4 linked regions of the Astyanax mexicanus genome follow. The protein of the gene in region 3 interacts with the protein of the main gene of each other region in a pairwise test. Links are inferred from orthologs where the notes say so. Each region holds a gene or a part of one and is shown on either strand. Other genes may lie near its edges. The genes, in order: glyctk, arnt2, dtx2 and sec22a.

What was found.
Region 1: the proteins of dtx2 (region 3) and glyctk interact in binary tests that used the Homo sapiens proteins (3 or more experiments, as listed by UniProt). The two-hybrid records come from large-scale screens. The link is inferred for Astyanax mexicanus from reciprocal best matches to the Homo sapiens genes DTX2 and GLYCTK.
Region 2: the proteins of dtx2 (region 3) and arnt2 interact in binary tests that used the Homo sapiens proteins (3 or more experiments, as listed by UniProt). The link is inferred for Astyanax mexicanus from reciprocal best matches to the Homo sapiens genes DTX2 and ARNT2.
Region 4: the proteins of dtx2 (region 3) and sec22a interact in binary tests that used the Homo sapiens proteins (3 or more experiments, as listed by UniProt). The two-hybrid records come from large-scale screens. The link is inferred for Astyanax mexicanus from reciprocal best matches to the Homo sapiens genes DTX2 and SEC22A.

The regions. Positions count from the first base shown.
Region 1 is NC_064412.1:3,279,173-3,287,247, forward strand, and holds the start of glyctk (glycerate kinase), read left to right. Parts: upstream 1-4,847; 5' UTR 4,848-4,983; intron 4,984-5,293; exon of another isoform or gene 5,294-6,192; 5' UTR 6,193-6,284; intron 6,285-6,313; exon of another isoform or gene 6,314-6,558; intron 6,559-7,722; 5' UTR 7,723-7,771; coding exon 7,772-8,075.
Region 2 is NC_064423.1:10,678,963-10,687,066, reverse strand, and holds the start of arnt2 (aryl hydrocarbon receptor nuclear translocator 2), read right to left. Parts: upstream 3,744-8,104; 5' UTR 3,455-3,743; coding exon 3,424-3,454; intron 3,216-3,423; exon of another isoform or gene 3,109-3,215; intron 1-3,108. UniProt on the Homo sapiens protein: Transcription factor that plays a role in the development of the hypothalamo-pituitary axis, postnatal brain growth, and visual and renal function. Specifically recognizes the xenobiotic response element (XRE).
Region 3 is NC_064408.1:27,942,089-27,950,958, reverse strand, and holds the start of dtx2 (probable E3 ubiquitin-protein ligase DTX2), read right to left. Parts: upstream 3,634-8,870; 5' UTR 2,416-3,633; coding exon 2,085-2,415; intron 1-2,084. Other genes in the region: gtf2ird1 (general transcription factor II-I repeat domain-containing protein 1), read right to left, coding at 5,964-6,032, 6,517-6,632, 6,889-6,926, 7,728-7,920, 8,565-8,642, 8,759-8,806. UniProt on the Homo sapiens protein: Regulator of Notch signaling, a signaling pathway involved in cell-cell communications that regulates a broad spectrum of cell-fate determinations.
Region 4 is NC_064418.1:8,436,614-8,444,664, reverse strand, and holds the start of sec22a (vesicle-trafficking protein SEC22a), read left to right. Parts: upstream 1-4,777; 5' UTR 4,778-4,907; intron 4,908-6,866; 5' UTR 6,867-6,880; coding exon 6,881-7,062; intron 7,063-8,051. UniProt on the Homo sapiens protein: May be involved in vesicle transport between the ER and the Golgi complex.

The sequences.
Region 1 (8,075 bases), on a different chromosome or scaffold from region 3:
GTAAAACTTTACATTTTTATGGTATAGTAAATACATTTACTATTTAATATTTTATGTATGACTTCAAATTTGTGTGAATCACACCCCATACTATGAAACATATGGGTCCAGCTCTGGAAATCCACAGCATTGTCTTAATAAAGCGTTTATGTTGGACGTTAATGCAGACTGAATGTCCTGCATAATATGTGTTTATTATAACAGATCACACCCAGGGGCTCTGGAATCTTTAAAGCACAAAGACAATAAGAGGGGCACTGGCGTATGGGATAGCATTATGAGCTCGTCCAATTTCTCTCCGTTTTGCTGTAGGCTAATGGAATAACGAGAGCCTCAGTACCATAAAGAGAAAGCCCATGATAAATGTTAATGTGAGTATGACGAAGCACCAGCAGCAGCTAATTCTGTTTCCATCCTTTCCAGTTATCATTATTCCCTCATATCCCTACTAATTGAACACAGGGAGGAGATACATCTTAGTCATTCATGGTGAACGGGAGCTAAATCGTCTCATGGAGAGAAAAAGAAAGAAAGAGAGAGAGAGGGAGAATAATGAAAGCATGTAGACCAGGGTTTTCTCAGCTCCATGTAGCACCACATAGTGGCCTGCAATTTTATTTGCTGTTTGATTAAAGCACAATTATACCACAGTTAGTTCTGACTCTGTAATTCCATAAGTACCGCTATCAGCCGATAATGCACTGTAACCGAAGCTCTCCATATATTACTCCGCCCCCTACAGGTAACCTAGCAATGATGCAGCGCTTACAAGCCAAACAGCGCAGCTACAAACAGAGCATTTTCAATGCAGCTAAAATTAAAGGAATTAAAAATTAAGGGAGGAGCATCCAAACGGCTTATAGAAGCAAATGATTCCTGACACCAAACTGTTTCAGCTGATTCTCAGAAAATGGATAGATGGATTTTTTTGTTGAGCGTTTATAGGGGAAGTCGAGACCCAAGTGGAAATACAAAATCACACAAAAAGCGAGTTCAGTATATCGTATTTTTTGCACTTTAAGGTGCACTTAAGATCCTTTAATTTTCCCCAAAATCATCAGTGCACCTTATAATCCGGTGCTCCTTATAAATATAAAAAATAGACCAGAAAATAAATATTTATTGATAGTGTGCCTTATTATCCGTTGTGCCTTATAGTGCAAAAAATACAGTAAAATGTCTCCTTTTTAAAGCCTTTGTGAAACTTTAGGCGAAGAAGTCATTGATAGGGAACACCCTCTCCACTTCGCCTCATTTCGCCTTTAATCATGAGATACAGCGCTCTGCTCCTCTGGCCATCGCTGGCCGATCTCTGACATTCAGCTTTAAAGGAGTACAGAAAGAGCGCGAGCTCGCCGTGAGGGCCAGAGAAGAGAAAGAACGATGGAGGAGGGAAAGCAGGATGGTGAGGGAGGGTGAGGAAGGTGAGGAAGGGGACACTGGTACTCTGAAATGGAAATGCCAGCCAGCAATGTGACCTCGCTCCATCTGCTCGCCAAAGCCACCCGCGAATAAAGCAGTGTACATCAATTATCCATGACTAAACAAGAAAGCAGGGTACAGTCAGAACTTCACAACAGCAAATAAAGGACTACAGGAGTTTCACACTTTTAGCAAAACTGTAATTTGGCTCATAATAATAGTGGATCCCTTGTGGAGCAATAAATAGTCACGTTTAATGGTACCTATGAATGTAATAATATTAAAGGTCTCATTCCATTGTTTTTTCCTTAATTTTAAAATGTCTAGTTGTGGTCTATAAATGAATGCTATATGACGATAGGATTTCGACTCTTACTCATCAATATTCATACATGCAAACATATAGCCACTGATTGGATAACAGCCCTGCGACACCAGGAAGCAGCGAGAAGGACACCAGTTTGAAACCTTTTAAAATAAAGATTTTTTTACATTAATAACAATCTTTACAATGTCATATGTTACTTTACAACATGTGTAATAATGCCCTGCTAAGTTCAGTTCAGCCACTGACCTAGTCTTAGAGTCTCTGTAAAACACCAAATCCACCGGAGATCCTATTTAAACCTGTAGTTACACAAAGAGGTGGGTAGTCCAGGTCCAGAAAGTAAAAATCCACTTTTAACTAGTGTAAACAGAACTGTTCTAATCATACACCTACCTATCTCAATTGTACTTGGCTGCTGGTGTTTTTCCTCCATAGACTAATTCTCACCATTTGTTTCTTAGCTCTGAATTACTGGGTAAAGCATATAAACACTGATGTGTTATTCGCACAAATAACACAGGAATGAACTGCATGCTGTTCCTAGCACTGTTATTTAGCTCTTATTTGATGAGACGGCGTCGCTGCTCGGTTTCAGCTCTGCCTGTGGGCGGGCCTGAGCCGAGGTGGGAAGGGCCTTGAATACTAATTCACGGGTTGGCATAGACACAAAGCTTTTCCTGATTCTGAATATTTTCTTTTACTAGCTCCTGCAGATAATGGAGGTTGAGGAAGAGTTTCACGTGCATCATCCATATACAACTACATAAACAACCTACTGTATTTCACAAAGAACAAGTGAAAAAAAAAGGATTTTAATGGAAAATGTTGTACAGTGGCTTGCAAAAGTGTTCATACCCCTTGAACTTAAACATCCACAAACTTAAATGTATTTTATTTTTAGATTTTAAGTGATATAGCAACACAAAGTAGCACATAATTGTGAAGTGGAACAAATATAATGCATGGTTTTCAAAATTTTAATCAAAATAAAATTTCTAAAAAAAGTGTGATGTGTAAAAGTATTCAACCCCCTTTTTACTCTGAAACCTCTAAATAAAATCTAGTGCAATTAATTCAAAGTCTTCAGAAGTCACTAAATTAGTTAATAGAGCAACAGTCTGACATCCTGCGCAAGTTGCATTGTGATGTTCATTGCTATCTTACACCCTGCCAACAGTCTATTTTCACTCCTTCCACCTGCATTGTTTAAATAGTAACAGTGCTTCTAAAAATGTCTACGATCTCTCTCTCTCTCTCTCTCTCTCTCTCTCTCTCTCTCTCTCTCTCTCTCAGGGGGTCTCTGATTACCCAGGAATGATGATGTCATGTACAGGATGGTACAGTCGCCTGCATTGCTGCTGACTCCAGGGGGATTTCTCTCTTTTCTTGGAAGTTTCATTACTCCTATTAAATAGTAATGTAAACATCTGTATTTTAAAACATTGCAATCATGTGTATGTATAAGTTATATGTGTATATTTATATTTTTTTGTTTTTATATTATTGTGTTTTTACTACTGAAAGGGACTTTGCAACTGTTTTTCACTCACCTGTACCCAATACTAATGTTATGAGACTGTAAATAAATCTGATTTAATTCATTTGATTTCATTTGTGTAATTATTTTCTTTTTCTGAAAATGCTGTACACGGTATAATATCTGAATAAAGCTGTATGTTTAGTATGTTATGTAATATTACCATCTGCTGCCCAGTTTAAGTAACTACAAGTGGAAAAGTTATCAGAGCTGGTTTATGGAGACACTGCCCACTTACTGTCTCCGCCGTTATATCAGAAAACACTGCCCACCGCTAGAGGGCGCCCGCGAGGGAGACCAAAATGTACAGGAGTGAATGGAGCTAAAGAGCTAAAAACTCTAATTAACAATATACATTAACTACTTTTCCAGAATGTTCCTTTAGTTTTAGACATCTGAATAAAGTATTTCGCTAAAAAAGGAAATAAAACCTACCTGTATTTTTTTAATTTTCTACAGTAAACTGTTTTTTTTTTTCAGTAAAGGTGCAGCATTACTGCTACTGTGAGCTACTGTGACTAGTTAGTGATCTGATGCTGGAGATACAGACAGAGCTCTAAATTTAAAAGCTTAACAAGTATGTATGCAAAAATGTTTTTTTATATATTGTTCTGTGTTAAAGAAATGAGAACATTTGTCAGTATAAAAAAATAATTAAAAGCTTATTTTTATTACATTTTGCTCAGTTGCCCCATATGCACCCATACAGAACTCTGGTGGTTTAAACACACCCAGAAAACACACTTAAGTTGGTATTCTCCTTTGTAGAAGCTCTCTTTCTTTCTACTGTCTAAGGTATTTTGCTTTTTTTCACTTTAATTCCTCTAGAATAGCAATATGTGCACACATCTAAGTACCTTCATCTTTATTCTCCAAAATGTATATTTGTTTTTCTTTTCATTTAGTGATTTCCAAAAACACACCATTATAAAGGACGTCCAATATATATTTTTTTAGTATTTAAATAAAAACAAAGAACCATAAAACATTTACATTAACAAAAAAACCCAATCTAATTCAAAACAACAAAAAAAGTCCTTCCTATAATTTAAAATGGGTGCAGTGTTTTTTATTTATTAAGAGATTACATACATAAAATAAAGTTCAAAAAAGTTTAAAAAGAAAAACACATACAAAATGTATGATCTTTACTTTACGTCAATTTTTATCTGTAAAGATAGCCTATATGTGCAGAATGTTTTCAGAAGGGGATGAACACATCGTAATCAGCTTTTTTGGAACAATATCTAGCTAGATATTTCTTAAAATATTAAAATTTATAAAAAATAAAGAATTAAAGATACTGTACATATATTAAGATACTGTACATAAAATGTAAATAGCTTTTTTTAACCAACGTTAAGCAGCTCTAAAACTGTTTTTTTTTTTGTTTAAATAAATGACTTTGTGGTTACATGTGGGGTTAATCAATTATTGAATAATGAATTATTGAATTCTTCAAGATATTTTAGTTACATAAACTGTTTTGAAGCCATACACCCGACAACGCATCACTTTCAGAATATAAAGACTTTTATTTTGAAATTAACCGCAAATCCTCCGGAAGTGTGGTTGTTTACATAGTGTTCTCGGTATTGCTGGGGTATTTACTTTAATATCAGTGTTTATTGGACAGTAATAGCTTTAGAAATCACCAGTAAACGAGGGAAAGGCTACACACTGATGGCGCAGATGAGTGAGTATATTGTGTTTAGCTCTGTTACTAATTACAGCAGAGCCACTCCTAGTTCTGTTCATTCCCGGATCCGATGCTTTAGTGAGTCGATTTAAAGAGTCGATTCCTAAAATAAACGTTATATAATATATACAGTACCAGTAAAAGTTTGTACACTCCTTGAATTAAGTGTTTCTCTATTATTGTTATTTAAGAATGTTCTGCATTGTAGATTAATACTAAAAGCATCCAAACTATGATGAAAAACTTATGGAATTATTTAGTTTTAAAAAAGTGCTAAACAAACCAGAATATATTTTATATTTTATATTCTTCTCCTTCTTTGGCTGAATTTTCTCAGTTAGCTTTATGAGGTAGAATCACCTAAAATTCAGGCTTTCAGTTAACAGCTGTGCTGAACTCATCAAGAGTTAATTACTTGAATTTCTTGTCTCTTAATAAAGTGTTTGAGAGCATCAGTTAAAGTAAAGTAGTGAAGAGGTAGAGTTACAGGTATACAGTGAATAGTGAATATTTGAGTAATGTTCTAATATCTCATGTTATGATAAGCAAGAACTTCTCAAGTAATAAAGAAAAAAAAATGATTTTAAGAAATAAATGTTATAATGATGGAACTGGCACCCATCAGGGTCGCCTCAGAAATCGCAAGTTCCCAGCTCCCCAGATAAGAGTATTTTTGTTAGTTTAAAACGTTTAAATTCCTATGTGATTCTGTGTGTGTTCACAGCCTGGATCACTATTCACATTGTAGAATTGTAGAACTATTCATATTCACAATGTAGAAAAATAAGACAAAAATAAAAAATAAATTGAATTGAATAAGAAGGCGTATCCAAACTTTTGACTGGTCCTGTATATAATATGTATAATATATAACTATTATAATATGACGAAAGTAAAGGCTAAAAGAACATAAAGTAGCTAGGTTAACAAAAAAATATATATATTACGAATCACTTTTTGGAATAAGTGAATCTACTCTTTTGAATCGCGCCCAGCCCTCTGTACCCAAATCTCCTACATATCTAAGATACACTCAGATTTACGAGATATAATAGAGATGTTGTTTGGAATCGAGTTCAGTGCTTTGAATTAGACTCCCTGCTCCCAAATTGTTTGAAATCAGTGAATCGACTCTTTGAATCGCTTCAGTTCTACAGTTCTACACTCCCCTTTTCACCCAAATCTTCTAACAAGCTTCGTATTTAGGATTTACTGGATAATCTCAGGATTTCTGCAGAGTTTTTTCCTGATGATCTTCTGCTGACCCTCTGATTTCTCTTCCAGATCAGCAGCTGTGGGTAAAATACTATATTTTCTTTCATCTCAGAAGTTAAGATGAAGTTTTTACATCTGAAACTTTGTTACAAAAAGTGCTTTTAGGCTTCTTTCTAAAATTACAGAACAGAACTGGACCAGACAGGACCAGACTGTCCTCTTTGCCCTATGGACAGCTGTAGTTAATCATTACTCACACAGTACACAGGTTTGGAGGAATGGGGTTCAAGAAGAGGCACATAGATTAACTTGTTTTTGGTGCTGGTGTGTGTGTGTGTTGTATTCTAGGCTGTGCTGGTAAGTAAGATCATTTCATGATGACTCATAAGTCAGAAACTCATATGTTTATTTCAATTTCAGTTTCAATTGTATATATTTATGTTTTTACGCTCTCTGATTATATAACACCAGTCATGAAGTTCAGCATTTGCTTTATTGTGTACAGATGTTTTTTTTTTTTACCATGGGATATAATTAAGCAATAATACATGTGAGGTAGTGCTATAACATGTAATATTGGCCCTGCTGTATAGCACAAAACTCGAGTGCATTATTGTGATTATACCACAGTTCCATTATCGCTGTTTATCAAAAGATTTAGAGTTAAACAAGAGGAGAAAATATGTTTGGTTATAAAAACTCCATCAGTTAAAATAGTTGCTCTGTTTGTAGCTGTAGTGCTGTTTGGTTTGTAAGCGCTGCATCGTTGCTAGGTTACCTGTATGTGGCGGAGTAATACGTAGAGAGCTTCGGTTACAGTGCATTACCGGCTGATAACGACAACTCATAGAACGCCTCTCAGCCAATCACATTGCAGGGTCGGAACTAACTGTGGTATAATATGCAGTACGAATTTTTGTCAAAAGTTGTGTGTGCAGAGCAACATATCGTTCTCAAGCTTAATTTTTCACCTTTTCAAGTGTTGTTTTTTTTTTCTTCAGTTACTCCTTGTGGAGAAAAATGAAGCTCAAGATCAATGTACATATTTTTATTTCTAATTTTATCCCATTTTCTTCCCAATTTACAAGGCAAATTACCCAACCCACTCTTTAGAACTCCCCCTAGCAATCACTAGTGATTCTCCAACACCAGGAGGGTTAAGAAGACTAGCACACGCCTCCTCCGACACATGTAAAGTCAGACTCTGCCTCTTTTTGAGCTGCTGATGTAGCACCGAGTAGCATCACAGCGCTAACACTCGGAGGAAAACGCAGTGACTCGGTTCTGATACATCAGCTCACAGACGCAGCCTTGTGCTGATCCACATCACCCTAGGAGTGATGAGGGGAAAGAGCGCCATCTACTGTACTGTACCCACTGAGAGAGAGCAAGACCAATTGTGCACTCTCAGGACTCCGACAGCCGTTGGCAAGATGCATGAACGGCATTTGAACTAGCGAGTTTTTTTGCGCCCCCAACTTTTAACATTAATGTGACGCTTTAATCCCTCTTTTATTCCAGGTGTTCGGTGGCTCCTCTGCTGTTCCGGTGTGGATGATCTGATTGGTCCATGGCTCGAGTGCTAAGCCTCTCCCGCTCTGTTCATCACTGGCGCCCCCTGTGGGCAGGAGGACCGGCCGCTGCCCGGGTCAGGAGGATGTCGTCTCTGGAGGAGCGAGCGAGGGTGGTGTTCGCGGCGGCGGTGGAGGGGGTGCAGCCGGACAGCGTGGTCCGCAGGGGGCTGCAGCGCCGCGGGGACGAGCTGCTCGTGGACGGACGCAGTTTCAGGCTCAGTAATAATCTGCACCTGGTGGGCTGCGGGAAAGCTGTGCTGGGGATGGCGGCGGAGGCAGAGAGGATTGTGGGAGATCATC
Region 2 (8,104 bases), on a different chromosome or scaffold from region 3:
TATTCAATAAACTACAGACAACATTCCTCCCAAACTCTGAATAAAATATTTAGAGCATTTATTAGCAGAAAATGAGAAATGGCTGAATTAAGAAAAAAGTGCAGAGCTATCAGACCTCAAATAATGCCAAAAAAAATACTCATATTCATAAAGTTTTAAGAGTTCAGAAATCAATATTTGGTGGAATAACCCTGTTTTTTAATCACAGTTTTCACGCATCTTGGCATCATGTTCTCCTCCACCAGTCTTACACACTGCTTTTGGATTCAAGCAGTTCAGCTTGGTTTCCAGAGGTTTGCAATTTGATAAAATCAAAGAAACTCGTCGTTTTTAAGTGGCCTCTTATTTTTTTCCAGGGCTGTATATGCACGCTCACCATGATAAATAAATATGACCATTCCAGCACTCCCCCTCCAACTGTAAACAAACAGTAAATGTGTTTCCTCAGTTTTAGGCCAAGACAGACTGAAGCAGGCAGTTCTTAACTAAACGAATACTCCAGACAGGCAGGCAGGCCTAAGACCACCTTCCACCAGGAATCAACAGGCACAGCCAGCAAGCCCCGCTAATCCCAAGCTCCGGCTTCTATAGGCACAAAGCAAAAACCAGCCACCAGCTGGACCATAATGGAGATCCGAGCAGAGCCAAGCAGAGCGGCGCAGAGCTGATCACGTAGTGCATTGTGGTAAATGTATTCAGACCCTGATTTGCATTAGAGGACTTTAGAGAGCAGCTCGCACTGCAGAGCTGAAGTGCATAAAGTGTGGGTGGGCAATACAATGATATTTTAACATATTGTGATACATTTTGTAATCATGAAACACAATAAGTGTGTGCCATTTCATATCATACGCATAGGCAATGATATCGCCCAAAATCCTGACATGATGAAAAAAATCTATATTGTGACATTGCGATAGGTTTCTTAAGAAAAAGCAGCTTGTTCTGTAATTATTTTGATATTTAATGTATTTATTTTGAATTGTTTGTTTCAGGTTTACATGCACTAAATACAGCTCTGTAAAAAAAAATAATAAGAGACCACTTCAGTTTTTGAATCAGTTTCTCTGATTTTTCTATTTATAGGTATATGTTTGAGTAGACAACCTTTCTCCCAAATTCCAAATAAAAATATTATAAATTTAGTGCATTTTTTTTACAGAAAATGAGAAAGCGTTCAGACCTCAAATAACACAAATAAAACAAGTTTAATTTAATAAAGTTTTAAGAATACAGAAATCAATATTTGTTGGAACAACCCTGGTTTTTAATTACAGATTTTATGCATCTTGGCATCATGTTCTCCTCCACCAGTCTTGCACACTGCTTTTGGATAACTTTATGCTGCTTTACTCCTGGTGCAAAAATTCAAGCAGTTCAGCTTGGTTTGATGGCTTGGGATCATCCATCTTCCTCTTGATTATTTTCCAGAGGTTTTCAATTTGGTAAAATTAAAGAAAATCTTTAATTTTAAGTGGCCTCTTATTTTTTCCAGAGCTGTGTGTTGTATTTGTAGTGTATGTAGAATATGAAGTTTTGTGGTAGATATTTTGTTTTTGTTACACTGTTTTCATTTACACAAAATTGTTTTGATGTAGTAGAATATTCCTGAAAATAATAAAAAATCAATGTTTTGCCATATTGCCAAGAATATAGTCATCACAAACATACCCAAATAATATTGTGATTTTATTCTACTCTATTCATACACAATTTATTGTGACACAGAAATCTTGTGATAATGACCACATTGTGTCTTGAAAACTGTCTATTATTTCCTGTGCACTTTTAAAGACATTTTTTTTATATACATTTATTTTTGGACCACATTGCCTACTCCTAGAACACAATACACTTTAACAAGCATATAGTGTATATTGTCAGTGCTTAAAAGTACACCATGTGACTGTATATTTGATTACAGCAAAGTGTAGCAAACTGTAATAAACGTTACTGGAATATGCATATAAATCTGTGTAACTACGGCATTTTGTGTGCATGTCAAAATCTCATAAATACTGTCCATAATGAAAATATCTTTACATATCGAGACCCAATCGTTTTACTTTATTTCTTTATTGAGTTTGACGATTTAGCTAAACCAACAAGTTTGACCATGCTGGTTCAGCAATGAGTCCAAACATGACAAACATGTTCAAGTTCTTCGACCACCAAGATCAACATGTTTTAGCCTTAACCAGACCAATCCAGACAACTATAAATATGATGAAGCTTGGGCTTTCTGGTTCATTAGCATAATCCATGTTACCAAGCTAGACAACAAGCATGACCAATCTGGATGACCAGTAAAAACAGCAAAACCAGCAAAAACTGGTTGAGCAACACGAGCAACATTACCAATTTGAAGAACCAGTATAACTAAGCTTGATCACCAAGTCCAAGCTATATGACCAGCATAAACAGGGTGGGCAACCAGCATGACCAAGCTTGACAATGAATGCAGGCAGGTTCTTCAAAAAAAAACAAGCTGGTTGCCCATTTAGACTAAAGTTGGGTGACCAGCATTACCAGCAATACCAACCAAGTCCAAAGTGGTTGACCACCAATACCTAATCATGACTAAAATAAAACACCTTCGACTGACCAGCATAGCCAACATGACCAAGCTAGCTGACCATCAAGACCACGTTAATCAAATAGTATGACCAAGCTTGGCAAATATGACCAAGCAGGTCAACCAACATTACCAGCAAGCCAAGATGGCTAATAGAACACCCAGACCAATATGACCAAGCTGGTGGACCAACAAAACCATGCTGGTTGCCCATCAAGATCATGACCTAGCAGTACAACTTGACTACCAGACCCAACATGATCAACCAGCATGGTCTTGTTTGGCAACCAACATGGTCATGTTGGATCTGGTAGTTGTGAGCCTCAAAACCAACATGCCCATGCTCGTTGCCCAACAAGACCAACATGATGACCATGCTGGATGACCACCAAGACCAAAATGACCATGTTATAACCAACCATTACCAAAATCAACTGCAACATATGGTCGACAAGCATCAACAGCTTGGCAAACATCAAACCCATCACACACCATTATAATTCAGACCTGGTTAACCATCTAGCCAAGCTTACCAGTACAGGGAACGTTCTCCTCTGGATAATCAGCTTACCAACCATTAAAGATCATCTCAGAGCCTGTGAGAGCAGTGATCAGCTGAAGCTGGTGTTAGTGTGGATGTTAAAGCAGGGCTGGCACAGCGAGGAAGAGGAGGTGATGAAGGATCAGGAGCAGGAGGAGAAACAGGAGGAGGAGGAGGAGGAGGAGGGGTGATGCTCCCTCTTCACCCACCGATCCTTTCTTTTGTTACCGGGAAAACGTCACTCGCGCAGGAGCACCGGAGCCAGTCTCCCCCGATCAAACCCTCGATAATCAAAGATCAGACTTACCGGAGGGGTTCACCGCGGCGGGGGTCGCCATGCTCCGCTGCTCGCCGGAGAAAAACGGACACAACAATAATAACAGCAGCGGCGGCGGCGTCGGTAAGCCCGGGGATCTGGACGGTGGTGACGCACGCAGCGAGTGGCGAGCTCCGGGCCAGCAGCTCGAGCCGCCCGATCGCGGGGCGGAGGGTGTAGGAGGGGCGGGCGGGTGTTTACCGCGGGCTGTGTGGGTTGATGGCCGTGCCGCCCTGCTGTACGGAGCCCTGGCTCTGCTGCTGCGGAGCTTCGCTACAGAAAAAATAACGCAAGATGTCTGAAAGGTGCGGAAACACCGCGAGACTTCAGCCTGCATACATTACCGCGCGCCCTGCTGGGCATGCGCTCATTACACACAAGCGCGCGCGCGCAGCTCCGCGCGGGACAGCTATAGTGCAGCTTTTAGAGAATGTAAGAAAGAACAGTTAAATACATTTTTAATCAATTTACTAATTAATACAGTTCAAAACACAAAAATAAGATTAGGTAACGGGTTTGGTGTAGGTTTGAATGTGTTAAAAATATATAAATATATCTAAAATCACTCAATCAGATTTTTTTTGTTTAAGTACAAATATATTAACACAATCGTGTTTGGATCACATTTCTTTTATTTACTTATGAAAACATGTTTGATATATGTTTTAATTTGATAAAATATTTTTATCTAAATAAAAATATATATGTTTAGTAGCACAAAATATATATTTAGCAAAAATATTTTATTTTATTTTACAAAGATCTACTATTTATATACTTAGCCCCACTATTATAGCTTAGCAGCACTACTACAATGCTGATTGATTTACTTACAAAAATATATCAAATTTTAATATATTTTAAAATTAAATTAATTTGAAAAAAAACACATATGCACACATATTAATTAATTAATAAAACAAATTCTAAAGAAAAAAAATGTTTGCTCACAAACAATTATTGTTTTTTAACAAAGCAAAAAACAAGAAAAATTAATTCTGTGTTGAAAAAAGTGCATAGTCAAAAATTGTTAATTTACTTCTGAAAATGAACATGCATTATATATTTAGTAAGCAAAAGCCAAAATTCGCCAATAATGTTAGATTAAATTTATTTTACATAGATATATGATTTATTTTCTAAGCACTACTTAAATGATTTTTAGAGCACAAATCTTTCATTCACTTACAAAAATCTATCAAATTATTTTTAATTATAAAATGATAAATAAATACTCGCATATATAGGTTTATATTAATATATAAAGTATATAAATAAATTTTTAGTGCAACATTTAGAGCACAGTTGCCATTTCTTTTTTTTTTTACAATTTGGAATTTTAAAGGTTGAAATAAGCAAATTTAAAGTAAAACAAAATCTTTATTTACAAAGCAAACACTTGAATTATTTTGGTGATAGTTGTAAAAACCATACTTATTCATTTTCTAATAAAAAATGATGGCCAATTCACTGTCATTTGCAACTTTAGAGAACTTTAAATAATATTATTAATTTAATTAGCAGTATGTGTTAAATTCATTTATTGCGAAATTGTTATTTATTTATAAAACGGCATGTTTTTAATAAAAATAAATTATTTTCTACAAACAATTATAATTTACTTAGTAAGTAAAATATTTTATATGTGCACGTGTTTATATTCTGCTCATTTTTATTTTCTCTGTAAATTTTTGTTTTTATTTTATTTACTCAGCATACTGTATATGTTATTGACATGTAACTCAGATTCAAGCTGTCTTGTCAGTCCAGACTTTGAAAGTCTGCCCACAATGAACTCTATTACACACACTAAAGACTCCACCAACACTAGACTAGACCTCCTGGACATTGCTGATCATGTGACGTTTCAGCGTTCTAACTCACCAAGCTTCTAATTACACACACCTGGTCCTATTAGTATAAATACCCCCCTGTTTCTGTTTCTTTGGCTTTGTGGCCCAGTATTAAATCTAGTTCTATTTCTTCTACTGTGTGGTTCATTTGTTTATTGCACTTATGTTTCAGACTCAGTTCTCTATTTCTTACTCCTCTGACTATCCCTGTAAGTTAGTTTTCTTTATTAATAAACTTTGTGTTTGGTTAATTACCCCAAAACTTAACCTTAAACTCTACACAAACCTAAAACTTACCTTTTTAAATCTAAATCTTAAATCTAGTCCTGGTCTTGGTCCTAATAATAACATTAACCACTGTAGAGAATAAGCAGATAGTTTGTTACCAATTTTAAAATGTACATTCATTCTACCATTTATGGTGCTAAACTTTAAAGCAGAGTTTTAAACTCTTAAACTCCACTTTAGGCTCATCAAGTTCAGACAGAAGAGGGCTCTTTTGGATTTGGAGGCCAAGGACACCTGATCCAAGACAATTTAAACTGTATTTCCACAGGGCTTTCCTCATTAATCTGCTGCTGTAATCCAGTCAGATGTATTCCATGAATAGACCCTTATTGAGGTCATTATCCTACAGAATCCACAGGCGCTCTTTTAGTCTGCTTTTAGTTACTTCCAGCGAGTTTAGCAGAGCATCTGCGTGTGTGTGATGTTTAATACGCCACATCACAGAAAGAGGAAAGGGCTTCTGATGGTGTAAAAAACTCATTGAACCCAAAATTCTATAAATGACTGAAATGTTTGTCTGACCAGCTTCTGTACCACAGTCCTGCTCTGTGCTTATTACAGAGTCTGCTGTTTGTTCCAGGCTTGTGGTCAGCTCTATATAAACTGAAACATCTCACTGGCTGCCATTCCCCGTTATGCCCCAGTGACCTTCAAAGTGGAAATTTTAATGTGTGCTTTATAATACAACCTCAAAGCCAAAGCAGGAATCATTATAATAAATGCAAAACTAAGTGTTTCTGTAACATTTACTTCATATTTTTTTGGATTGCAGACTAAAGTATAGACCAAAGATATGTTGTGTTTTTTTTCTGGTGAACTTGATAATATTTGTTAATATATATATATATAAAAAACTAATATTTTTTTAAGCATTTAGGTGCTCTTATCTGGGGTGATGTTAACTAACTGTGGTGTCTAAGGCTGGTAACTCTGGTGAACTTATCCAGTGCAACAGAGGTAACTCTTGTTCTATTCTTCCTTCCCTCTGGTGTTCCTGATGAGAGCCAGTTTTATCATAAAGTTTCTGATGGTCTTTTTGACTGCGCTCGAGCATACGTTCCAAAGTTGTTGAAATGTTTCGGATTGACTGACCCTCACTTCTTAAAGTCTTAACGTTTTTTTTGCCGTAATCTAAATTAGAATATTACTTCAATAGAGCTATTTACTGTATACCAGTAACTCTACCTCTTTACAACTCTACAACTGATGCTGTCAAACATTAAACACGTTAAGAGACAAGAAATTCAAGTCATCAACTCTTGATAAGTTCAGCACAGCTGTTAACTGAATGCTATTCCAGCCAATATGCACAAAGCTGTCATCTAAGCAAGGGGTGCTATTGTGAAGAATCTAAAATATAAAACATGTTTGTTTACAAACATAATATCATAGTTTGGATATATTTTAAAATAATGAAAAAACCTTAATATATGACTGAAAAGTTATGATGTAAGACAATATTCCTAATATACATTTTGAATGAGATTTGCCTATTTGTTATTTCTCAGGTGGCATGCGGCTTAGTGGTTATCATGTCTGCCTTCCAGCACTTGGGCCCTGGGTTCAAGTCCCTATCTGGGTGGAGTTTCATCTTTTCCTCGTTTCTACATGTTTCCAAAGACACTATCAGTCAAATTGGATACTCTGAATTGCCCAGAAAATGGATATTCTTAATTTTATTCCCTATTTTATTAGTACTTTGCTTTAGATAAGATAATGTCAGATATCTATATTTTTGTGTTAAAAATATAAAACAACAAAGGAGAAAGTAAAGTGTGTGAACTAATTTGAGATTTAATCTGAAGAAGAGGCTTTTCAGCTGAATATGGTTTGTGGTTGTGTTGGTGCTTATATATAAATATAGTTCTGGGAAAAAAAAGAGACCACTTAAAAATGATGAGTTTCTTTGATTTTATCAAATTGAAAACCTCTGGAATATAATCAAGAGGAAGATGGATGATCACAAGCCATCAAACCAAACTGAACTGCTTGATTGTTTTTGCACCAGGAGTAAAGGCATAAAGTTATCCAAAAGCAGTGTGTAAGACTGGTGGAGGAGATCATGCCAAGATGCATGAAAACTGTGATTAAAACCAGGGTTATTGCAACAAATATTGATTTCTGAACTCTTAAAACTTTATAAATATATATATATTTTTATTTCTACTATTTCTCAGTTTCTGCAAATTAATTCTGTAAATGACAATATTTTTATTTGGAATTTGGGAGAAATGTTGTCCATAGTTTATAGAATAAAACAACTCAACTCTTTTTACTCAAACATATACCTATAAATAGAAAGTCTCTGAAGTGGTCTCTTATTTTTTTCCATAGCTATGTATATTGTACAATCTATGTAATGTTAAAAAGATATTAAAACAATGTTGCAAAAGTCAACTTTGATTATTATTTCAAAATCAAAACATAATGCAACATGGAATTGACTTTAATATGATATTAATTCAGCTGTGAATGACATTTTAAAATGTTGAAATGCTGGCTGGATGTATATAACTGTATTTACTTCTTAT
Region 3 (8,870 bases):
AAAAACACAATCTACTCTAAGTAGAGAAAACATTAATCTGTGCAAAATAGTGAACATACATGATTGGACCTAATACACGTTGACACAAGCAATTTTTTGTTACAAGACCAGAACTTGTGACTCTGATAATGCCCTTTGTTTGCTCAGATACAGTATGTATGACATCTACTAAATACCCTAATCTTCCTGTTTGAATCTGAAACCTATTTCCTGGTATTATTTTCCTTTCTCTCATCCTGTTCAGTCTGCACAATACACAGGTGTCAAAAGCCCCCACCATTCCACACCCAGAATAAAAACAGCAAAAAGAGAACTGTAAAACATGACTGGGGCACCAGACTCACAGATTTAATGGAAAGGAAAATTATTAAAGACTTCATGGAAAATTCAGCATTGTGATTTCTGATGTGTATTAGCTCAGTTTCTTTTTGAGGGTCTTAACGGTCACTATAATAATATTAATATCAGGGAAAAGAAGACATAAGTACTGACATAATATCAATGTTTGTGAAATAATAACTAAAGTACATATGTTTTTTTTTTATAATTCTTTGAGCTGGAATGTAATAGTTACAAGTCAGAAAAAACAGAGATATCACAAATAAACTAAATAAGATTAAGCATTAGACATTTATTTAAGTGAATGGAAATTACAACACACTCCCTAATTTAACTGAGTTGAAGTAATGGTATCGTTTGAAAATACCTAACAATAACCTCAGCTGAGATTGAACTTTACATTACATTTCAATGCATTAGCATTTTTTATGTTTAAAAACTTGACACTTAGCAACATATAATTTGCTCATTATTACTTTAAATAGACTAAATTGGACTAATTTTACTAGACAATAACAATTGTCACCTGCCATACATGCTGCATCCAATAAACAAACTTGAAACAAACTTCTTAAGTCTTGAGAGAGTTATGAAGCACTACTTATAGATTTTTGTTAAACATTCAGTGGTGTACAAGAAACAGTGATGAGCCAACAGATAAATGTATCAACCCTGTTAGTCAGCAAATTCTTGATGGCAGTGGAAACAATATGGATAAAAGACAAGGAAAAATGTAACCGTTACTAATAGTCTATGTTACAGTGTTTAATGAACAGCATAGTCTTTTGCATGATGTATGTGTGATTATATGAGGTAGTGGTTAACACACTCCCCACAAGGGTAAATAACTAAAATGTGCAGAACAGCGGTCCCATGACCAAGCCTGAGAACCATCATCAATAATGATTTTAAGCCCTTTAACCTTCATCTTACCACAACTTTAATATTGATTTTGTTATACAGCTCTGGAAAGAAATTAAGAGACCACTTCATTTTCTGAATAAGTTTCTCAGTTTGCTATTTATAGGTATATGTTTGAGTAAAATGAACATTGTTGTTTTATTCTATAAACTACGGACAATATTTCTCCCAAATTCCAAATAAAAATATTGTCATTTAGAGCATTTATTTGCAGACATGGGACATGAGACATGGCTGAAATAACAAAAAAAGATACCTCAAACAATGCAAAGAAACCAGTTTTAAGAGTTCAAAAATCTATATTTGATGGAATTTATTTTTTTTATTTGCAGTTTGATGCATCTTGGTATGTTCTCCTAGACCTGTCTTACACACTGCTTTTGGATAACCTTATGCCACTGGTGCAAAAATACAAGCAGTTCAGCTTGGTTTGATGGCTTGTGATCATCCATCTTCCTCTTGATTATATTTCAGAGGTTTTCAATTTGGTAAAATCAAAGAACTTGTCATTTTAAGTGGTCTCTTATTTGTCCAGAGCTGTAGTTTGCAAGACAGGGGAAAAATAGTCTTTAGCCACCCAACACCTGATCCAACAAGTGAGCTTAGTAGAAACCTATTATTGAGTTAAACGTGGCTTGTTAAAGCCGATGAACCAGTGAACCAGTAAAATAAACAGGGCAGTGGGTCTCAAGGACCAGTGGTAAAGAAACACTGCTTTAGACGTTCTCCAAAGTCTTAGAGTTGGGGACCACTAGTTTAAATTAACAAACATGACAACACAAACACACAGAACCACATTGTATGTTTGCGAGCTCCTGACTTACCAGTGTCTTGCCGAAACTGTTTTAGGCTCGGGATGTCGATGATATAGGCTGCCAGGCTGGGGTCGGTCTGGCCTAGGGAGATGCTAGTGGCGGCGGGCCCACCTGCCCTGGCCCCCCGCTGCTGCTGAAGGCATTGCTCGATGTAGCAGCTCACCTGGCCACTGTAAGGCCGCCAATAACCTAGGTCGTCCTGCCATTCCCACACCACCACCATGGGCTGCGCCTGGCCGGGTATACCAGAGGCCGAGGCGGTGGAGGAGGAGGAGAAGAGCGACGGCCCGTTCCTGGAGCCATTCACGCCGGAGGCAGAAAAGCCAGAAGCCGTGGCCATCCTAGTTAGTTAGTTAGTTAGTTAGCTAACCTGGCTTGCTAGGAGGACCTCGGCGTACTTATTTATTTAGTTAACTTAATAGCTAGGTTAGCTGAAACACACACACATACACAAATGGTGGTGTCACTTGCTAGCTAGATAACTAACCCCAGCGACAGCGAGCTAGCCTAAACTGCACTAGGGTAACCTAGCTAGCCAGCTAACTAACTAAGCTAAGCTACATAGACTGCTGCCTCTGAGCTAACTAGCTAGGTTAGCTAGTTAGTTAACTGAAAACACACACACAAATGTTAGTGTCACTTGCTAGCTAATCCCTGCGATAGCAAGCTAGCATAAACTACAGCTAAGCAGTACATTGACTAACTGTTAAACTAGGTTAACTAACTAATTACATAAACTGCTGCTGCTGTTGGTTAGGTAGCTAGTAAATACTTGTCAACCAAACGTATTAAGTCTCTCCATAGGGGCTGACTGGCGTACAAGCTAAGCTAACTAGCTAGCTAGCTACCAAGTTCGACGAATTGAACTGATAACCTAGCTACCGCTAACTGCCTAACTAAAACCGGGCTCGTTCGTCCGGTTGCTAAGCAAAACCAACAACTAGCTTAGCGAGCTACAAACAAATAACTTAAATTAACCCTAGCTATTTAACTTAAGCTGAAACGAGTCGTGCGAGTCTGCATCTTCATCCGCCAGCTGATAGCTAGCTACTTAGCTAGCATAGCTATCTGTCTAGCTTCGGCTGTCTAGCTTACAGCTCGTTACTACGGCTCCGATGTTGTGAAGCTAACGCTAAGCCATTTTTAAAGCTCCAGGAGGCCGAACAGCGAATAAACGGTTAAAACTAAGCTAAGCCAGGATGCAGTAAAACAAACCACGTCCTTGTCTCTGGTAGTGTCGTCTTTATCGTCTTCTAAAACGCCTTAATTCTTCCACTGAACGAAGCCCCCCTCTCACCCATCCGGCTGCTCGCCCTGCCGTCTCTGTGCAGAGTCCAGCGACCAAACACAACAAACCAACGGAAACCAAAACCACCAGCCAACCGCAGGGTCCCCTCCACTGCTCTCATCACAGAAAACGACACAGTAAACTGGATGGAATTCAGCTTAACCCGTAAAACAGTTACCTGTTACTACGTGTCCAGTATTTGTTTGATGCATTGAGCTATTTAGTGTAAAGCTGTATGAATGAGTATAAATGTATGAGTCCGTTATTTGAGCTTTGAAAAATATTGTAGCTAAGAAAGTAGAGCGTTAATACAATTAAGAGTCAGTTTGTTTATATAATATTTTTAAAGGCACTCATGTTCAGCTTCTATTAAAGCTATAAATAAATCAAGATTAAATAAATGTATCAAAATATCTATTAATAACAAAAACTATCAGATTTTTACATTTTGGTTTCTCAATTCAAACGCTGCAAGACTTTTATTTTGAAACATTATCCTGACAGTTTTTGTGTCTGACAAAAAAATACTCATCACATTTGCATTTATTAAATGTAAAATAAATTAAATCGAATCAAATAATGGTCCTACAAATCTAGAAACAGTGTTATTTAAAAAAGAAAAAAAAATCCAACATATAGCTATATAACTTATGTTAACTTTATCTCAGATGTACAGCAGCTTGGAGTGTTTTGCTACCAAGTCTGTTTTCTAGATGACAGATAATTCTACAGATAGATGATAAACATTTGTAAACTATATCTTTTTTTATGTCTTTTTAGCTGAAGTAGTCTCTAGTTTGATACAGTACTTTGTGTAGAGAATGTACAGAATGTTCTTTCATGTGTTTCTTAGTCTTAACCAGCAGGTGGAGACAGATGAATGATTTTAATGGACAGGATGCAAATACAAATGCATGAGTATATCTGCAGTTTACCATAATCCTTAAAATGACCTTAAATTAAAGTAAATATTTTAAGCACTGAGAGGCAAAAACAAATCTGTTAAATAAATAAAGCGTAGCTTGTATTATACCATCGAACCATGAAAGCACTACAACACTCAAAAGTAATGAACGCAAGGCAACACATTTTATTTGAAAGGCCTAAATGGCATTAAGGTACAGCATATAAATACTGGTAATTCCAGAGACAGTCCTTACAGAATAACATTATACCATTCTTTCCTTTACATACAATACATTCATGATGTTGTCTCCATCAAATTTTATCTTACTTGTCCTCCACGTTCTATGAACGTCGGAGCGACTTACACCACTACAATAATGATAAAGTCTTTCATTGGAATATAAGTTAGTGCTATTGTGTTAGGATGCTCCACTGTAGGACCATGAACCCCTGAAGCGAAAAGAAGAAGAAGAAGAAGAAGAAAAAAAATAAAATAAAAAACGGAATATATCAGTAGCTAACTGTTTTAGTGTTATCAGTCATGGCATTCAGCACTTGATGCATTGTGCCGATTTGTTTACATTCCCTGCATATACATGTTTCTTTACTTTTATTTAAATAAATAAATAAATAATAATACAAACATTTAGCTAGGCATAAGAACCAGTTACTACGAGAGTAGTACGCATGTGTACGTCCTCAGCACCAGTCGAGGTTTTGCATCCTATGGATAATGAATCTTGTCTGGGAATAATGTTTCCCAACAGAATCCATCACTTGTGTCCTCAGTGTGGGTGTCAGTCAACCATTATTGTTTCAAAGGCCTTTAAAAAGAAGGCAACCCTACACTGGCAGTCACTTTGAATAGCTCAAATGAGCTTGATAATGGTTTTTGATGTGTTTCCATGTGTTTCAGGGGATCTATCACTTCTCTCACTTAAAGTAATACTTAAACAAAAAATCTCCTTTACAACTGATCTGAATCTTGTTAAACCACAAAATGCTTGGTAGCCCAGTTGTGCTTCTTTAGTTTAGAACTGGAACTATGAGGTTTACATTGCTAACCTAAAACAGGGAAAATCAATATTCACCCACAATTTTCCAATAAAAATGCACGCTCACACACGTCGCTCAACCCCACATATAAATGGAATTTCCTGCCAGCAAGTTATTCACCTTATTCAAGCGTTAAAACGATATGTTCCTCATATATAGAAATGTTTTAGAATTTCTTTTTTCCAGATTTTTTAAATGTGTTGTAACAGACAAATATTATAAGCTCTTATGTGTAACTGAGCATTTGCTTATGACTGCCAGTGTATGATGCAAAGCATTGTTCACCAAACATAAAAAAATAAAATAAAAATAAAACAAAATGAAAACACTCCTTTTACAAGCAGCCTCTCCAGAAAAATAAAGCACTGACAAACTGGGAAGTAACGATTCCAGGTTACTGCACAGCAAATTCACGTCTCAGCACTTGCCGTCCTGAAACTGTAATGAGAAACTCCTTGTACTGTTTGTCGTCACGCTCAAAGAGTTTGTGATTGCCAGCATACACAAAGGTCCCCCGTCACACTGCGAGATCAACCACAGCACTCCAAAAACAGCTGATTTTTATAACGGATATCAGTCTGACCACGTCCTCCCCGCAGGATTCCTCTTCCTCTTCTGAGGGGCTTTGAGGTGGTCCACTAGTATTTTACCTTTCCTGGAACTTGGACATTCACTCCGCTGTAGTCCACCATGTACATGGGCCATTGCTACAGGAAGAGAACAACAGAGTATCAGACACTTAAACAAAAATCTAACTAGTTTCATATAATTAATGAATAAATAAATCCATATACATCAACATTTTATGTTAAACATTTTATTTAGAGGGCTGAAATTAGCCAGCACAATGATCTTACCTGTGCCATTGTACTCAAGCCAAGCTTACTTGTTAATTCTGTCCATATACAGAAGTAGCTAGCTGCTTTGCAATAAATAGCACTAAATGCTATGCATATTTTTGATCCAATCATGTAGTTTCACCTATAAGGTGTTATACTGATTGTGTGGAACTACAGGTACAATAATAATAATAATATAAAAAATAAAATGTTACTGATACTTAGAGCATGTAACTCTTTGAAGGAAGGTGATGGAGAAAATCTGGTGGGTGAACTACTAACATCACTGACTTATAATGTAGAATTAAATATTCTGGTACAAGCAGGGCTGTTTACTGGCTGTTTTCCATACCATCACTGGAATCTGGTTGGCTGGAGCAGCAGGGTCGGCTCCTGAGGGAGCGGTCGCTTGACTGCTTTCCAGGACCCGCTTGCGTTTACGTCTATTGACTGACACTTCCTTCCCTTCTGCAGGAAAATGAGCAAAATAACATAGCATGAATTTAAAGTTTTGTGCAATGGTTTGTTGATTTTTGAAGTGAAAACAAAAAGGATAGAGATATAAATAGGATCTATAGAGAATCTGTTAAGTGAACAATTACATTTGTAAAGAAAAATAATAATTACATGCAATTTGACTAGGTGCATCCAAAAACAAACAAGGCTGTATACAGGAGGGATTCCAATATTTGATAAATAATCAAATCAAGTAAGGTAAACCTACCTGTATTGCTGGTCTGGGGACAAAGCTGTACAAAAGGCCTAAACAGAAAAAAGTTTTTTTTTAGATGTATGAAATGTATCAAATGTACTACACACATGCTTTCACCTAAACAAGACATTAAAGCAGCTTAGTCCAATAAGTACTGTATAGTGTAGTAGCAAAAACAGATGATTTTCCCAAATGTTTGGCAACTGTTTAAAATGAACGACAAAAACATAATTAAGGACACCTTTCAATACACTTTTAATAATAATAAAAAAAAAAACAATCAATAAAAAACAAATATAACCATTGTTGATAAAGTTATTCCTTTAATTTATTTTTTAGAAATTAACCTATTCATAAAACATAATATGTAGAGTATTTCTGTTCAAACTACTGGCCAAACCAAAACCAATTGAATTAAATGTAAATGTAGTTGTTTTTATGTTATATTTGTATATTTATTGTTTTTATACAAAGTGATCATGATCATATGGCAAAACATTAGTATGAAACTTTATAGCAGTGTGGAGGACTTGTTACCCAACCCAGTCCCTTCTAGCTGTCTCTCAGTCAGAAGTCTGAATTAGGGACGATATCATTATGATATAATTATTTTAATATTAACTGTATAAATAATAAATTTTTTGGTATATTGCATCTTTACATACAAACACTGAAAAACTACATATTGCACTATGAAGATCACATGAAATGCAGCACATTTAGAATAAAAATCTTAAATTGAATTGTGCATCAGAATTTTTTTTGTATGGATCATGATATAATATTGCTATTGCCCACATAATCCTTGCTTCTAAACATTATCCAAATAGCTTAAACAATTGCTGACTTACTGTAATGGGGTTTTGATATTGATGGTGATGTCATCTCGAGCCTGAAGGATCTTCTCTAATCGAACTATGTCATAGGTGTTGGGGTTCCTGAAGTGGATATCATCTGGAAGTCCACAAACCTCCAGTGATTCCGGACTGGCCCGAATCAGCTTGTATGGAACAACAACAGATCGATCCAGGCCTAGAGCTTCTCCTGAATACAAGATGATGGAAGTAATGGAATAAATGGGACAGGAACTTGCAACTTTCTGATGAAAAGGCCAATGCTTAGACAGTTGCATCATACTAGAGGTCATAATAAAGATTAGGGGTACACTGGGCACTTCACAATATGTTGCCCACGATAACGATGATATCACAATACTGTGCGATTCTGCAATATTTGGTATATAGTAACACAATTCCCTACGATACCTTTCAGCAAGAGGATAAAATACTCTTAAATAAGTAAATACCACAAAATTATGGAGTTGTTTCAGTTTTAAACAATTTGACAACCACTCTGAATTAATGTACAACAAAGTGGCCAGCTTAGCTTGCTTGTGTCTCTTTAACACACATAGACACACACATACACTTTCAAGTGTAGCATTATTCCGAACTTGTAAAACTGTTTTTTTGCTACACTAAAATCTTTTTGAACTGTGTAACATAAGCTTACTGAAAAATAAAAAAATAAAACTGAAATACCAAATCAAAAATCGATATTTGACACCATGTATCAATAACACATCTCAGATGGAACCAATAAGATATACTTCCATAAGGCAAATATTACTTCTAAGTTATAAGAGCATATACTGTGTAAAAAAGATGAATAATAGAATCTCCACTGACCGTATTTCTTGTTAAACAGTTCTTTCACTTGTTCCCGTAAAATGACTTTCTCTCCCATGCGACTGACCTCTTCTTCATCTATTAAAAAATGAATAAAAGACGCTATCAGTGCTTCACAATACTGAGCTATAGAATTTCTATACAGAATGAAAAGAGAATGAGGTCATGAATCAGAGGTCAGATAAAAATCTCACCAGTTATTGAGGCATATGCCTTCTTTAATAAGGTGATTCTTCGTGGTGCTAACAAAGAGAACAAATGTAGAAAACCATATTCATTATATTCTTAACAGTGAACTGTTATAAT
Region 4 (8,051 bases), on a different chromosome or scaffold from region 3:
TTGTCACATTTGTTTGGACTACGGGTGGACTCTGCTCACTATGGGCGTTCTGTCTGTGGCTTCAGACTTTAATTGCTCAGAGGAAAATTCAATAAGAGTCAGTGGGACAAATTACTCCGAATCAGAGAAGTCAAAGACATAAATACACCCCGATTATCTGTTCTGGAGAGATAAAGATTTTCTACTCTTACTCTGAAAGCAACAGTCAAAATGATGTACACCACTTGACAAAAGATCCATATAAACTCCTTTTCTTCTCCGTTCCACAGAGATGTAACGGCTACAATTGGGAAATCACAGTTTTCTGTATTTAATTGAGTTTTGTGATGAAAGAGGTACGACTTGCCTGCTTGTCCTGCTCTATTCTTCTCTAGGGGGTTATGTGGTGTGAGCATGTCTGCGTTGGCTTTGTCTGGTCTTCTTCAAATTCATCTAGGGTTTTGTGAGATTAAAAATCAACAGAAAATTGAAATTATGAATAGAGAAACTGGTTCTATGGGGAAAACACACATAGTGTGTTTATTATAGTCTGCTTATTGATTTTATATCCATCTGCTTCATTTAAACTGTCTTACAGTTTTTCTTTGTTGACACTGTGGGTCAGATTATACAGATTCACAACGAACCACCAGACTTTCTATGACATTAAGAGGAAACTAAGAGTTTCTCTCTTAAAACACGGCTGCACAATGCATATGATCTGAATCAGTTTCTCTGATTTTGCTATTTATAGGTTTATGTTTAAGTAAAATGAAAATTGTTGTTTTATTTTATAAACTACAGACAATATTTCTCCCAAATTCCAAAAAATATTCCGATACATGTAAAATCAGCCACTGCCTCTTTTCCATCTGCTGCTAATGCAGCATTGCTGAGTAGCATAACAGCGTGCTTGGAGGAAAGCGCAGCGACTTAGTTCTGATACATCAGCTCACAGACGCCTTGTGCTGATCAACATCACCCTAGGAGAGATGAGGGGATAGAACAAGGCCAATTGTGCTCTCTCAGGGCTCCGGCAGCTGATGGCAAGCTGCATGACCAGGATTTGAACCTGCTGATCACAGCTCTATGAATATGATGTGCCTGCTATGACCCCTGGATCCCTTCACTGTCTCTATAAGCAAATATATCACTGTTTTACCATCTGACACACTTCTTCTGAAAAGTACATTTGTATGCTGTCCTACATTTATCGGTCAGTCTCTGTACTGTGGGTAGAAATTCTAAATGCATTTAACTTTATGCTCTTAAATGGACTTGTCCAAGAGAAGGACATTCAGTTCTACTGATCAGCCCTAGAATACAGAGCAGATGTTTCAAACTCAGGATTTACATTTACATTTACTTTTACATTGTATTAACTGTAAGTCCTTATGTTAACTCACAGTTTGTATTGAACTATTTTATTCTCATTAAAACATATTGCAAACTGATTAAGTAAAAATATTTCAGAAAAGAGCATATCAATGGTTACATAATCAATGATTATCTCTCATTCTCTCCTTCTCTCACTATAATGCAGCCTAAGGATGATAAAATCTATTTCAAAAGCCTGTCAAGCATAATAAATCAAGCTAAAACACACACAAAAAGCAATGCAAACAAGTCGTTACAGCGTCTACCACATGAGTAAATACTTCAGTAATTTAATTTGCTATAATGATATCATCTGCTTCTTTAGGAAACAGCCTGCTGTAGAAAACTCAAGTACCAGATGTCACCAGTAAGTAAGATAATAATCAAACTCTTGCTTGAGGATCCAGGCCAACAGAAGAGAGAAAAAAACATCTTTTCCTTCCAAAGTGGTCCACAGCATGTCCAAATTTTTGTGGACATTTTCTCATCCAGTGTTTCTTCTGAAATAAGTGGTATTTATCAAACAAATGCCTCATGTTTTTTTTGCAGTAAAAGCCTCTACTCCAATAGAGACTTTGCACTAGATGCTTTGAACATTGCTGTGAGTATTTAATTGCACCCAGCCGAGAGAGCACGAGACAGGTCAGCTTCTATTGTGGGGGGCCATCAGCCACTCCACAGTCCAATAATGAGGGCTCTGATGTTTTACAAATGTTACAAATATTTCAAAGAGTAACTAAACCACCTGTTCTAGCTGACTCCACCCTCAGCTCAAATTTGAAAAATGCCTACAAATCAGAGGAGTAGTTTGGGAGGGGCATTGGGTGATGTATGGGTTTAGGGACAGGGCGGGGCAGAAGGGAGAGATGATTGGGCTGAGCAGTGTGCCTCTAATAGCAGTGAGACCATAGCCTGTATATAAATATGGACAGGGCGTCCCCATTCACTCTCATTATGGCATTTTGAAGCCAAAATATGGCCGAAATGGAACATGCCATCTTGTGTGCGCTCACGCAGTAGAGGCAAATTGGAGCCAGAACTGGCGTGGCACTGGCCAGTGCCTTCACCGTTCACCAAAACTGGCATTTTCACCAAAAAACTTGTTATTTAACTGCTAACCTGAGTTGGCTACTCTAGTTAACTAGTTAGCTAGCGTTAAGTAGTTAATGCTAGGTTAAAAACCTAACCTAAATAAAAAAAATACACAAGAACAAAGAACAAAGTATGAATACAAATTAATTGATGGAGGGAAATTATCCACATACGGAAAAAACTGCAGAGAACGTTTGCCTGAGGGTCTGTTACATAAGTTAACTGCAGAATAAGCCATTGCTTTACTTCAGATATCTCATTTTTAAAGTAAAATCCAAATGTCAGAAAGAGCCACAGTGGCGGTGCGCGTTCACACTCTCAGGCGACCTATCAATCAACTTGCCCTCAGCTGTCAATCAATCACCACATGCTACAACCCTTTAAATATCACGGAATTACTCCTATAAAACTTCAATTGAATGGAAATAGGCGGGGTTAAAAGTTGTACTGGAGCCAGCCACCAGAGGGCGTAAGAGATGTAGTGGCTTCACTTAAGCAATAATACACCAGAGGGAGTGCTATAACAAAGGCCGAGTGCCGAAGATCAGCACAGCAGTGCCAATATGACACGTTATAGCACGAACCTTGAGTGTATTATTGCGATTATACCACATTTCCATTATCACTGTTTATTGAAAGATTTTGAATTAAACCGGATGAGAAAATGCGATCGGTTTGTTTATAAACACTCCGCGAGTTAAAATAGTTCCATTACTACTTTAGCTGCGCTGTAAGCTCTGCATTATCGTCCATTTTAGTCACAATTGTGGAAATCTAAGCGTAACGTTACTGTAATTAAACGTAAGAGCTTTACCCTCACCCAAATAAATTTTTTTAGGAGGGAAATCTGTGTGGATTAGAGGTCCAGCGCTCGTTTGACTGAAAGAAAATGTTTTTTAAGAATTAAAGTTTTGTTTACTTCGGCGCCCCCCAGCGGTAAGACCTGCAGTATTACAAGAGTCCACCTTACATTCAGATTAAAATACCCTATATTAACTGGAAAATATATACACTTTTAATATAATAATAACAACAACTCTTAGCCTGATATTAGTGGCTAATAATGTGTGTAATAATGTCTATTTTTGAATAAATTTGGATTTATTTATTTGTGTGGCACCGCGTCTTTGCCTGCGCCCCCTATTGGAGACATGGCGTTCCTTCACTGTGCCTATGGAATCCAGCGCCCCCCAGTGGTGTTTAATGACATCGCATTTGGATTGTATTTGGCTGGTAATCGTTGCTAGGTTACCTGTATGTGGCGGAGTAATACATGAAGAGCTTCGGTTACAGTGCGTTATCGCCTAATAATGTCGCTCATAAAACGCCTCTCTAATTTTGGTATAATTTTCAATAACTGTCGTTCTGTCAATACTTATATACAGTCTATGGGTGAGACGCAGATTGTTGGACATCTCCAGGGGGGTGGGGTTATTGATAGATTGATTTGCATATTGTGAGTGTGCATTTACCAAAGCACACAAAAACGTCATCTTCGCCTATAACATAGTTGAACTTATGAGGGCGCTGCAGAGGTGGAAATAACTGCAACTGTAATCAAATGATATGACAAAAGTCTGGAAGAACACTGATAATGTATTAACACTGTAACAATGTAACACTGATGATGTATTCATTATTTACAGTTCCAGTTATAATACAAAAAAATAAGACAAGTATTTGGAGTTCTATAAAACATGAAAATCAAAGGCTTATCATATCACACTTTAATGCACTTGTCCAAGCCCAAAACAGATTAGATTTCTCTCACTGAACACAAAAAAAGAACTGAGGTAGAACAAACATAAAATTGCATATATTGCATTTTTGTTTAAAGTTAATGATATTGGTCTTTTGAAAATCTAGACTTTTTGTGTAAAGTTTTGTAGCTGATAGCTGTTAGTTTTTAAACTCTATTCATATTTAAAAAAAAAAATTCATAAATGTTCATTAATTATTATTATGTGTTAAATATTTACATTGCATCACTGTAATGTTAAATTTACTGTCCTTTATTAAGATATAGCTAGATATGCTGGTCTTTAAAAAAATATCCGTCATGTGTGTGTCAGGTTATGGTGCTAGTCAGAACAATGCTAAATGTTTACAGTTTCCTAAATTGAACCATCACATATTTATGAAATAATTATATAATCCACTACATTTTATTGTATCATTGTAATGTTTTATTTACTTTTTTATATAAAAGGGTTATTTTAAATGCTATATAGGCCTACTGTGAATATGCCTCAGAATATTGTCTAGGTAGGGAGCGTTGTGTTGTTTGGGACAGAGCCGCTCTTAATGCTGCTACTGCTGCTCCTCTTACCCATAATGCTCTTGGCTCAGACACGTCAGCGCTGGTGTATGGCTGCGTCCTCCCGCGGCGGAGCTGACAGACACAAACAAGCGGACAGAATGATGCTAAAGTCGGGACTCCAGCCGTTACCGGTGCCGAAGTGAGTACCGTCAGTGCGGGACGCGGGCCTGCTGCTGCCGGGGGCGGGTTCTGGTCCTGGTTCGGCCTGTTTGTGAGAGTCTGGGCTCAGGTTTGAGCTGCTGTCACCCAGCAGACAGTTATAGCTAAGCAGCTAACCAGCTAACAACAGTCTCTGTTTATACACAGTGACCGTAGACACACACATTATACTACATGATTTAGGTTAGACAGAGGTGTATCTGAAAGAGCCTGTGTTTGTTTATCTCATGTGGGCAACAGCTGCCAGATGCTGGAGAGATAGCTAGCTAATTAGGCTAATTAGGTTAATTAGCTCTGGTTTGTAACAGCTTGGTGTGCTAGGTTAGTTAATTTCGAGATGTTCAGCTTGATGACTGTGTAGTTTACAGCAAGTAATGATAGCTAACTATCTAGCTAGATAAACTCCCAGACAGTAGATTGAATATATTAATATTCAACACTACAATTGCTGTAAGTTTAACAGGCTTTATCCAGTGAATTAGACTAGCTAACTAACTAGTAAGATAAGCTGATATGCAGTAGATTAGCAAAATATGCTAATATTTATCACTGCAAATGCTTTAAATCTGTCAGGCTTATCCACTGAATTAGATTAACCAACTTACTTATTTACTTACACACTATCTAACTAACTAACTAACTAATCAGCTAGTTAGATAAACTGCTGTAAAATGCTGTAAATTAATCACGCTTATCCAGTGAATTAACTAACTAACTAACCAATTAACCAAGTAACTAACTAACTAACTAACTAACTAGCTAGATAAATTCCCAGGTAGTAGATTAAATTACTAAAAACTTCAAATACTGTAAATGTATTAGGCTTATCCAGTGAATTAGGCCAGCTATCTAACTAACTAGTTAGATAAGGTGCTAGGCAGTAGATTTGCAAAATATATTAATATTCAACACTACAAATGCTAAAAATCTATCAGGCTTACCCAGTGAGTTAGTTCAATTAACTAACTAACAAGCTGTATAAGCTGCTAGGCAGTAGATTAAATATATTAATATTCAACATTTCAAATGCTGCAAATTTATCAGATAAATGGTGGGATGGAAGATTATGCTTAATTTGTTTATTGTGAAAGATAATATGAAACATACATCATCATAACAGAGAAACACAACAAAAATACACACACACAACCCACCCTCTCTACTAGATGGTAGATTAAAAATTATATTAATAATCATCACTTCAAATGTTGTAAATTTATCAGGCTTATTCAGTGAATTAACTAACTAAGGAACTAGCTAGCTAGATAAACTGCTTGGCAGTAGATTAAATATATTAATATTCAATACTACAAATACTATACATTTCTCATGCTTATCCAGTAAATTAATGCTAGTTAGTTGTCTATGTTTCCTGCTGAGGAAAACAACATGACCAGCTCAAACTGATTAACCTTCTATGGCAGAGTTTTGCCCTTAGGCAACGAACACAATTTCATACCTTTTTTAATGTGTTTACTAAGTTGTTTTTTCTTTTGGGCAGCATTATAGAGCTAGAACACTTGCTGTAAAACATCTGATTCTGTTGATCAGTTTGTTATCAAAAGTCAAAAATATATATTTGACATATTCACAGGGAATCCCAAGCTTTTATCCTCCCAAAAAAACTAATGCCACAGAGGGTTACATTTAGTTTACCAGCCAAAGTGTATGTTCTCATATGATGTTCTCATTGATGTTTAATATGGTCTGCAAGCATGATCCACATGGCCAAGCTGGATAACCAGCATGTCCAAGCATGATCAAAAAATCAAATGCATACACTATAGCAGTCGAGAGCTGGTTAAACAGCTTTGTTACCAACAAGTAAACTGCCCAAACAAATAGTTTATTTCTGGATTCTGGATTACCAATTAACTCTATGGTGACAACTACATTCAAATGCTCAGAAATAATGGAATGCTCTCCTACACTCCTGCAGGATCCTGCTGTAAGATGTCTATGGTCCTGTTTGCCTCAGTGGTGCGGGTGAGGGACGGCCTGCCTCTCTCTGCCTCCACTGACTATGAGCAGGACAAAGGACTGCAGGAGACCAAGAAGCACCTCAAGGGTCTGTCCAAAAAACTCAGCCAGTTCCCTGACCGCTGCTCTCTCAAGACTGGACAGTACAATGTCAAGTAAGGATTCATTACTATCTGTATGCATCCCAATGCACTGTTGTGTGTTCTCGTTTAAGGGTGTAGAAAAAAACTGTATTCAACAGTGTTCCGCTGACTCTGAGATTCTGGGGCCTCATGTACTAAGACTTGGGTAAAATTTCTACAAAAATATAGCGTACAAGTACCGTACGCTTATAAAACTCCAGATGTATCAAACCATATGTAAGCAGAATGCCACGCACTCTCTCTTAGTACATCACAATCAACGACATATTGAGCGCACCTGCAGGAACACAACACTCCTCCTTGTCTCCGCCCTCAGTTATGCAGATTATAATATGCTAATTAGTATAAACAGGCCTTGGAATACTCTTACTAGAAAAATGGTGAAGATAAGATGCCATAAGAGGCATCTTGGGCCAAAGAAATCCCAATAATCAGAGTAAACACACTCTCAATAAATTTGGCCATTGGCAATATCTTCCAGTAATGCCAACACTGCCATTTACAACATATAAATCAATATAATCTAGATAGATGGATGGATAGATGGTAGATGATGGATGGATAGATATATGGATGGATGAATATTGAGATGGATGGATGGATGGATAATAGAGAAAGAGATTGATTGATTGATTGATGAATGGATGGATGGATGGATGATAGAGAGATTGATTGATGGATAACTGGGTGGGTGGATGGATAGATTAATAGATGTATATATAAAGATTATCCCAGGAACATTTAAACTCCAGCAGCATCATTACAGTACACAAATAATACACAGAAGGACCAGAGGAAAGGAAATAAACAAAAATGGAGAATATACAAAAAAACAGTAGATCCAGCAAAAGAAGTATTGCACATTATTATTGCACTTGGTTTAATATTATTGCGCATAGTCCGGTTTGTTATTTTTAGGTTTATAAGTATTAAAAGAAAAATGGCATTAACAGAATAAACAAAAAAAGTAAACACAGTATATACAAAAAGAAAAAAAACTA